Linked DNA regions of Xenopus tropicalis. The main gene of each other region encodes a partner of the protein of the gene in region 2 in a complex. Links are inferred from orthologs where the notes say so. Each region holds a gene or a part of one and is shown on either strand. Other genes may lie near its edges. The genes, in order: gjc1 and tjp1.

What was found.
Region 1: the proteins of tjp1 (region 2) and gjc1 are in contact, whole or in part, in a crystal structure (PDB 3SHW), measured with the Homo sapiens proteins. The link is inferred for Xenopus tropicalis from reciprocal best matches to the Homo sapiens genes TJP1 and GJC1. Residues at the interface, in NP_003248.3 of Homo sapiens: Lys429, Ser432, Val433, Gly434, Leu435, Arg436, Leu437, Gly449, Val450, Leu451, Val484, Leu487, Leu488, Leu549, Asn551, Gly552, Lys553; in NP_001073852.1 of Homo sapiens: Lys391, Thr392, Ser393, Val394, Trp395, Ile396.

What each region holds. Positions count from the first base shown.
Region 1 is NC_030686.2:17,914,327-17,918,766, reverse strand, and holds the start of gjc1 (gap junction gamma-1 protein), read right to left. Parts: upstream 3,040-4,440; 5' UTR 2,771-3,039; intron 1-2,770. UniProt on the Homo sapiens protein: One gap junction consists of a cluster of closely packed pairs of transmembrane channels, the connexons, through which materials of low MW diffuse from one cell to a neighboring cell.
Region 2 is NC_030679.2:97,715,978-97,719,799, reverse strand, and holds part of tjp1 (tight junction protein ZO-1), read left to right. Parts: intron 1-591; coding exon 592-697; intron 698-1,410; coding exon 1,411-1,561; intron 1,562-3,003; coding exon 3,004-3,112; intron 3,113-3,244; coding exon 3,245-3,464; intron 3,465-3,822. UniProt on the Homo sapiens protein: TJP1, TJP2, and TJP3 are closely related scaffolding proteins that link tight junction (TJ) transmembrane proteins such as claudins, junctional adhesion molecules, and occludin to the actin cytoskeleton.

The DNA.
Region 1 (4,440 bases), on a different chromosome or scaffold from region 2:
AATACTGGCAAGTAATTTCACTATAGCTGGATTTGTCAGCAAGACTATTATATAAAAAAACTTGCTCCTCATGGAACTAATATAAAAGATAACCCTTATATGGATAGTCTGCAATTTTTGCCTCCCTATATCAGACTTTGACTTTTCAAATAACTGCCTTTTAACGTTATCATTACAGCATTATAGTAGCAAGAACTTTTTTACACTATAATGAACTGAACATTATTCTTGGTCCTAGGGTAATATATGAATTTGCACAAAATGTTGATATTTAATGAATTTCTATCTGGTATTTGTGCAAGTAAAGTAAAGGAACCCGATGCCAAGTGCTTCTTGTTTGATGAAACTTTAAATGTGTAAAAATGACCAGTATGAACATATGGGGGTTCCTAAATCATTTGTTTATTTAAATTTAAATATTTTATAACCCTGTCCAATGTTGTATACTATCACAACAGTGTGAAGACCTAACTTACAAAGGAATAGAAGAGCAGGCTCTATAATAAAAAACCTTTTTTACCTATACAGGTATAGGATCTGTTATCTGGAAACCTGTTATCCAGAATGCTCCGAATTACACAAAGGCTATCTCCCACAGACGTCATTTTAATCAAATAATTAAATGTTTAAAAAAATGATTTACTTTTTCTCTGTAATAATAAAACAGTACCCTGTACTTGATCCCAACTAAGATATAATTAATCCTTATTGGAGGCAAAAGAATCCTATTGGGTGTATATAATGTTTAAATGATTTTTTAGTAAACTTGAAAGGGGGAGTATTATCAATGTTTGAGTTTGATTTTTTTTCACGATTCTTTTTGCACTAAATTTGAATTCAAATAATGGTTCAAAAACTCGAATGTCTGGTATTTATTAGGTCCCATAAACCCTGATATTTTCAGAGCATGGTTCATATGGCATCAAACGCACAAAAAAAAAAAAAAATCAAAGCATACACATACTAAAGATAAAAAATATTTTTAAAAAATCTAAATATTGATGGTGCGCTGCTGATCACAATAAATGAGTCAAACGCCCTTTGTTGCTCCTATTTTGGATTCTGGAGCAAAATAGGTCCCCCAGCTGTATGGATATAGATACCTATGCACACTGAATCATATACACATAGAAAGACACAGTTTACCTCCATGTGTAACCTCACGATATCAGGGTTAAAATATAATGTATTGAGGCAATGGGTTTCTGTATCTGTGTCCTGCACTTGGAACCCTGGCTTACAGATCTAATCGGATCTCTCAAGCATAATGTACATCTTACACAGGGGGTGCTTAAATTAAACATGTTCTTGATAACGGGTAAATGAATGAGCCACACTGCATCATGAAGATAGGGTTGCTGATGAAGTTCTGTTCGAGTTTTGAACTACTTACTTGGAGAAATGGGCTCACAGTAGTTAGATACCTGTGCATGGCGTTATAAGTGCTAGGGCACACTTAGTATTTTTACCCTGGGACGCTTCACAGCACAGCAAATACACATTTTGCTGCAACAAATAATTCACGCAATCTTGCACGTTAAGGCTTTCCAGGCTCATCATAATACATACAGCTCAAAGCCAATTATATATATTTTATTACAGTATTATTTAATGTTAGAAACAGCCAATTGCTATAGTAGTACATTTTTCAAAGCAAGGACAGTTATTGCCGTTTGCAGTAAATTTACGAAGGACCCCCATAGGATGGAAGCCCAATACATACATTAAGTCACATAACTTTTATGAGAGCAGATTAGGCTCAACTTTGAGGTATATGAATTTTGCAAGCAGTGGTGGAATTCTAATAAATCCTGGATACAGCCATACTCTAAATACCGATGAATATAATGGCACACGCTGACCTGCAGGGATGTTGCTAGGTTCCCATTAGACCTGTGGCACAGGAAAGCAACCCAACATAACACAATGACATTGATATTTAAACTAAGTGCCTAAAAAATGCAATAATGTGGTATTAGATGTACTGAAATTTTATCCCACGTGTTGAATTCACACTTCTATCCACTGCTAGGATACAGAACCTTAAACCTTTATTTCTGACAGAAAGGTGCCTTTCCCCTTCTCCTGGATTTTCCAGAGAAAGGCAGAAAGAATTCCTAGCGCTGCCTCCAGTTTGCCTTGCAGGAGGAAATTCCTTTGGACTCAGAAATGGCACTTGTACCGACTAAATGAGTATGAATGGCAGTAATACACATAACTAGTGTCCTCCGTCACACACACCCCAGGCAGTGCTGATCCCCTTAGATACACTGGGAACTGAGGGGGCTACAATGAATTTCACTTTTAAGCTGGGTACAGGCGCCCAACAGACTTTGGCCAGTGGAAACCCTAACTTGTCTCCAAAAGGAACCCCACCAGAGACAGTGGTGCGTGCCATAAATCTATGGCAGCCCCAGCAGCAGTTGCGTGTGGGGGGGGGGGGGGTCAGCCCTGTGTGCCAGGGGGATGGGAGCAGGAATAAACTCTAAATATCCTCACAAAAGGCACTGACTTTTAATCACCCTATATTTAGGGGAAAATATTAAAATTACTTACTCATTAAATAAATGGGCATTAAGTATTAATCACTTGGTCCAGTACAAACCAGACAATAACTGATCAATCATTTTACTGTTTAATTTGGGAGATTCCCTCCTCCCCTGCCCACAATTAGTTAGTGGCACCCACACATACACACACACACATACACATACACACACACAGTCCCACTAGTAGTGACACACAAGCAGAGAGAGACATAGGCACTCACCATGCAGTATCTCAAAGCTCCTTCCCGCTTGAGTCCTTCCCTTTCTCTTTTCGGGACAGGGACAATCATGTGACCATTTCCCCCCTTCTCTCAGTAACAAAGGCGGCTAAAAGGACAGCTGCTCCTGCTGTTCCGCCTCAGTGCCCACAGAGACCCCATAGGGTTCCAGTTTGTGCAGGACCCCAGCCTAAGTCTCCTTCCCCAGTGAACAGACAAGCAGTGTGATGACAGGCAAGTGACTGGCCGGTTCAACTTGGAACTCCGGCCCCTCACTACTATCCAATGGCAGCTCAGCAGCAGCCGCACAGACTACTATAGTGCTTCGGAGCTGAGGGAAGAGGAGGAGATTTAAACTTTTTTTTTTTTTAATTAAAACAATAAATTCACTTCTTATGTTCCACCAGCTCGTGTTCTTACTTAGTGAGCACTAAATTCCATGAGGCAGCCCCTGTGCCCCAGAACTGTGTGGGGCAAAAAGGGGGCATGCTGCGTGTCTAAAGATGGCCGTGGTGTCAAAAAATGCTCATGGGCATTTCACACATATACATACACTTAAGGTGGCCACACACGTGGCGATTTGCGATCTTTCGTGCGACCATCGGTCACATGAAAGATTGTACAATCGGCCACAAACCGTTCTGGGCTGAAATGGCAGATAAGGAGGTAGAAACAATAGGAATTCTACCTCCTTGTGCCGATTCAGCGCTGAAGGCAGATTTGGTCAGGCGCCTTCTATGGCGCCCGATCAAAATCTTTTGATCGGGCGTACGATATTATCGGTGCGTGTATGGCCAGCTGTAGGTAGCCATGTAGCAGGCCGAGACTGGGATTCATAATAGGCTCTGATATTTTAGGGCCACAGAGGCCGTTCCTGGAGCTGCTGCCGCCCATCTTTCCCACTCCGCACCTATAATTTTAGTGTCGGAACAGGTCCAGAGGGGACTGCATTGCTAGTTCCCTTTAAAAAGTAAATTCAGCTCTTAGTTACCAGAGGCGACTTTTTGCTTTTTAACTTTAGCTACACATATTGCAGGGCACTTCCTTACTATACACACTACCCCTGTTACATCCCTTTCACGTGACTCTGTGGTTCCTTACTATAACCGAATCCCAAGTTTACAACTTTTTCCTCTGACACCATTATGCCTTACTATTCACATTATTCCACAGTTACAGGTAAATATATATCTGTGGAGCATGGTGGAGTTACTTTATTCTGGTACAGTGAAAAGCCCTAACTGGCGCATTTGTCCAGTGGTAGATGGGTGTCTCAGTCCCAGTGTAAGGGGGCAGTCCCAGTCTGGGGCAGTTCTGGGGTTGAGTGATGGGTCCCAGTATCTCCTTTCTATTCCAGTTTAAATCACCTAAATAGATTCTAGTTTGACAAATTCATATGTGCCTCTCCCCTCTGAAGTCACTCATCGTTCTCCCCACCCCTACTATACACTATTGGACTTTCTCACTGCTTCCTGTCATTCCCAAACCAATTCCTTCCCTCCAGTCTGTTACTTCCCATCATTTTTGGATCCCCCCTTAGTCTTTGTCTTGCACCTTGGGTGCTTCTTCTGCTGCTCAGGGCACACTGGTCTTACACTCTCTTCAAATATTCCCCTTGTCACACTTCCAGCATTTAGCAAGTAGCCAGCCATATGTGTCAGGTTATTAGGAAA
Region 2 (3,822 bases):
TTACAATAATTCAATCTATCTTTTACTTTTCTATTTAGAGCACCATATCTTACATCTACTAAAAAACATTTACATTTTTAAAAAAAGCATTGAAAAGGATTGTTTTGCTATCCGTATGGATTTATGCAGTTAGCTACCTTCAAGTAGAAGGCACTGTTTTATAACTACAGGAAACTGTTAAAAAATAAAATAAATGTAAAAATAAACGGGAAACGTCATTCCAAGCTTTCTGGATAATAGAGCTATCCTACGACTGTATATCCATATAATACACTAAAGCCCTGAATAATCTGTAAAATGAATACAGTACTAAGTCAGAGCCACTCTGCCAACTTAGTACACCATGTGTGAAGTAGTGAGCTTGAATCAGGCAAATAGGCTTTGGTGTGTGGTATAAAGGAGTTTTTATCCAATGTGCTGATTTGTTTTAGAGAAGCTCTTAGATGCCTCCACACATAATAGGTCTGGGTCCTGCTAGTGGTCCCTTTGGAGGATCTGGTGAGTTCCATAATGGTGGGATTGGGGGGTTAATTATTATAAAATGTTTGCAATGCAAGCCTATTTTTTTTTATATTTTAATTTCTTTAACAGAGCCAAAACCTGTATATGCCCAGCCAGGACAACCAGATGTGGATTTGCCAGTCAGCCCATCTGATGGACCTTTCCCTAATTCTACACATGAAGATGGCATGCTTCGGTAATGCACACTTTCTGTTAACAACATTTAAAAATGCTTAAAATTGTTATTAAAACTGTTTTAAGGAATCCTTCCTTTCTTCTAAGAATAGGTGCTTTGTAGCCACCTTCTTTCTTTAGGGTGAAGACACACAGAGCTACTAGTAGCAACTGCTTGTCATGGCTACTAAAATAGACAATGCTGATTGTTTATTTATAACAATAGGAGAGGCAATTCTCAGTATTGTCTTTGGCAGAGCATTTTCTGGTGTTAAGTAACCTTAGCAAGAAGATGCTACTAAGTAGCTCTGTGTGTCCTCACCCTGACTGACCAAGGAGAATTGCCACTGTATAAGCTAGTGGCCTCTTTCATCGAAATACTCAACATACTCCCTTGCATTTCAATCAGCACTAATTTATCAACAGTAAGAGGGCCAAGAGGTGCCCTTCCAAGTTAAATGAACTGTAGTGCTACCCCAAATGTAAACCTTAAAAAAAATTTTTTTCAAAGAAGAATTCTATAATCCACAGGGACATTTGAGAGAAAATAAATTTGTTTTATAGATTGTTTAATTATTGTTTAGTGTTATTTACACAGTGTGTATTGAATATATGCTGTAGCATGTATGAATTTTTTTAGTACGTCTTTTCTAAAAATTATACAGATAGTTCAGATATTATAAACTTTGCTTAGATTTATTTGTTCCATGCTAAATTTACTTCTGTTTTTTGGAGGCCAAGCATGAAACTGGTGAAGTTCAGGAAAGGAGACAGTGTAGGCCTTCGTTTGGCTGGTGGTAATGATGTGGGAATTTTTGTTGCTGGTGTATTAGACGACAGTCCTGCCGCAAAAGAAGGTTTGGAGGAAGGGGACCAGATACTCAGAGTAAGTAGCAGTAAAATTTTATAATGCAAGATTTTTTCAGCTCTACTGTTATGCTATGAGCATTAATAAAAGTACATAATAGAAATACAGGTGGAAAAAGTAGAAATGTTGCTTATGGATATCACACTATTTCCTGAAGTTTACACTCACAAGGTTAACTTACCCTCAATGGAACATGAAAATCCCAACTACTACATTTACATTTTCATGTTGTCATAAACTTTGAAATAGATTAGTATAAATGATTGTTTTAAACAAAGAATGCTGTCATGGGAAAACATGTTTTTTTTCCCCAAAACACATCAGTTAATAGATCTTCTCCAGCAGAATCCTGCGTTGAAATCTGTTTTTCAAAAACACTGATTTTTTTTATATTTAATTTTGAAATTTCACATGGGGCTAGCCATATTCTTCATTTCTTAGAGTGCCTCAACCATGTGACCGTGCTCTAAAAAACTTCAGTCACACTTTACTGCTGAGCTGCAAGTTGAAGTGATATCACCCCCCTCCCAGCAGCTGATCAGCAGAACAATGGAAAGCTAGCAAGATAGCAGCTCCCAGTAGATATCAGAATAGCGCTCCATGGTAGAAAATACAAGTCCAGCTTGTGACTTCTCCAGTTACATGAGAGTAGGAGAAACAATAGGTTAGCTGAAAGCAGTTCTAATGTGTAGCACTGGCTCTTTCTGAAAGCTCAGACTCAGGCACAATGCACTGCCTACACACCAATATCACAACTAAAAAAATACATTAGTTGGTTCAAGAATAACATTTTCAATGGTAGAGTGAATTATTTGCTATGTAAACAGTGTAATTTAGAAATAAAAATTATACCATAAAAAACATTACCGTATCCCTTTAAGTGTGTCATTCCACCTACTATTATTTAGCAGGGATTTTAGTTATTCAATGTTAAATAGACAAAGAACAAGGAAGTGCTTAATTTCACTTTTTTAATCTGTAATATTCCCCTCAGGAAGCTTTATTAAAAAACAAATGTGTTTGTATTCATGTGTTTGCGAGCTGCAATACTCCTTGATATAAAATCTCACACTATGCTTTTTTTCTGCTAGACGGAAAAACATGGCACCCATTTGCCACTGAATAACAGGCACATTTTGGCCCAAATACAGCTGTGCATAAATGGCCGAAATCCTCCTTGTGTTCACAGTGACGCATGGATGCCATTAATAGCATGGGGCAGAATTGGCTGGCATTAATTTTGTTTCCACTTCCAGAGAAATGCCTAATGTGACAATTAGCTACAGGGTGTATAGTGTTCTTATAGCTTGAATTAAGCCAAGTGAACTATGTTTTGCTTTATTATCCCATAATTTCTGATGACCCTTGTAAATAAAAGTGCTAAGTGGGATTGGTTGTTTTTGTGCAACCTTCAGTTCTAAATAATCCAAACTAAATGCAAATATTAAATTTAATTTTAGGTTAACAATGTGGATTTCACCAATATAATAAGGGAAGAAGCGGTACTGTTCCTTCTTGATCTGCCCAAAGGAGAAGAGGTTACCATTCTTGCTCAGAAAAAGAAAGATGGTAAGTTTTCTTGCCATAAGTTGGCCATGAATATGAAAATATTTGTGTTTATCATTAATTAAACAATTGTATATTTTGCAAGCATTACCTCTTCATGCTGAAATTTAGAATGTACCATATTTGTGTTTCCAGTGTATCGCCGCATTGTTGAGTCAGATGTTGGGGATTCATTTTATATAAGAACTCACTTTGAATATGAGAAAGAGTCACCATACGGGCTAAGTTTCAACAAAGGAGAGGTCTTTCGAGTTGTGGATACTCTTTACAATGGCAAACTAGGGTCATGGTTGGCCATTAGAATTGGTAGAAATCACAAGGAGGTGGAAAGAGGGATAATCCCCAACAAGAATAGGTAAGTGGTTACCAGTTTTACAGGTTTCTTTTGTATTTTTGTGTACTTTAACTGTATGGATAGTAGAGCTGTTTGGTTATGCTTGTGTGTTGGGTCAAAGTGGATTCTTTAAAGGGGACATACAGCATACATTTTCACAATGCAGTGAAACCATGTAAAATAGAAGAAGGAAGCGTGTTTGTTTTAATATTATGGGTCAAATACATCTGAATCAGCTTGATAACTGTGCTGGACCTGCCCCTTTTACAACTTTCCGGTCTCAGAGTCTTTGGTGTACATCTTATCATCACCTTCTGTCTCAGTAACTGAGCCACATCCATTAAGGGAGGACTGGGCATGCAGAGGTGGGCAGCGCTAT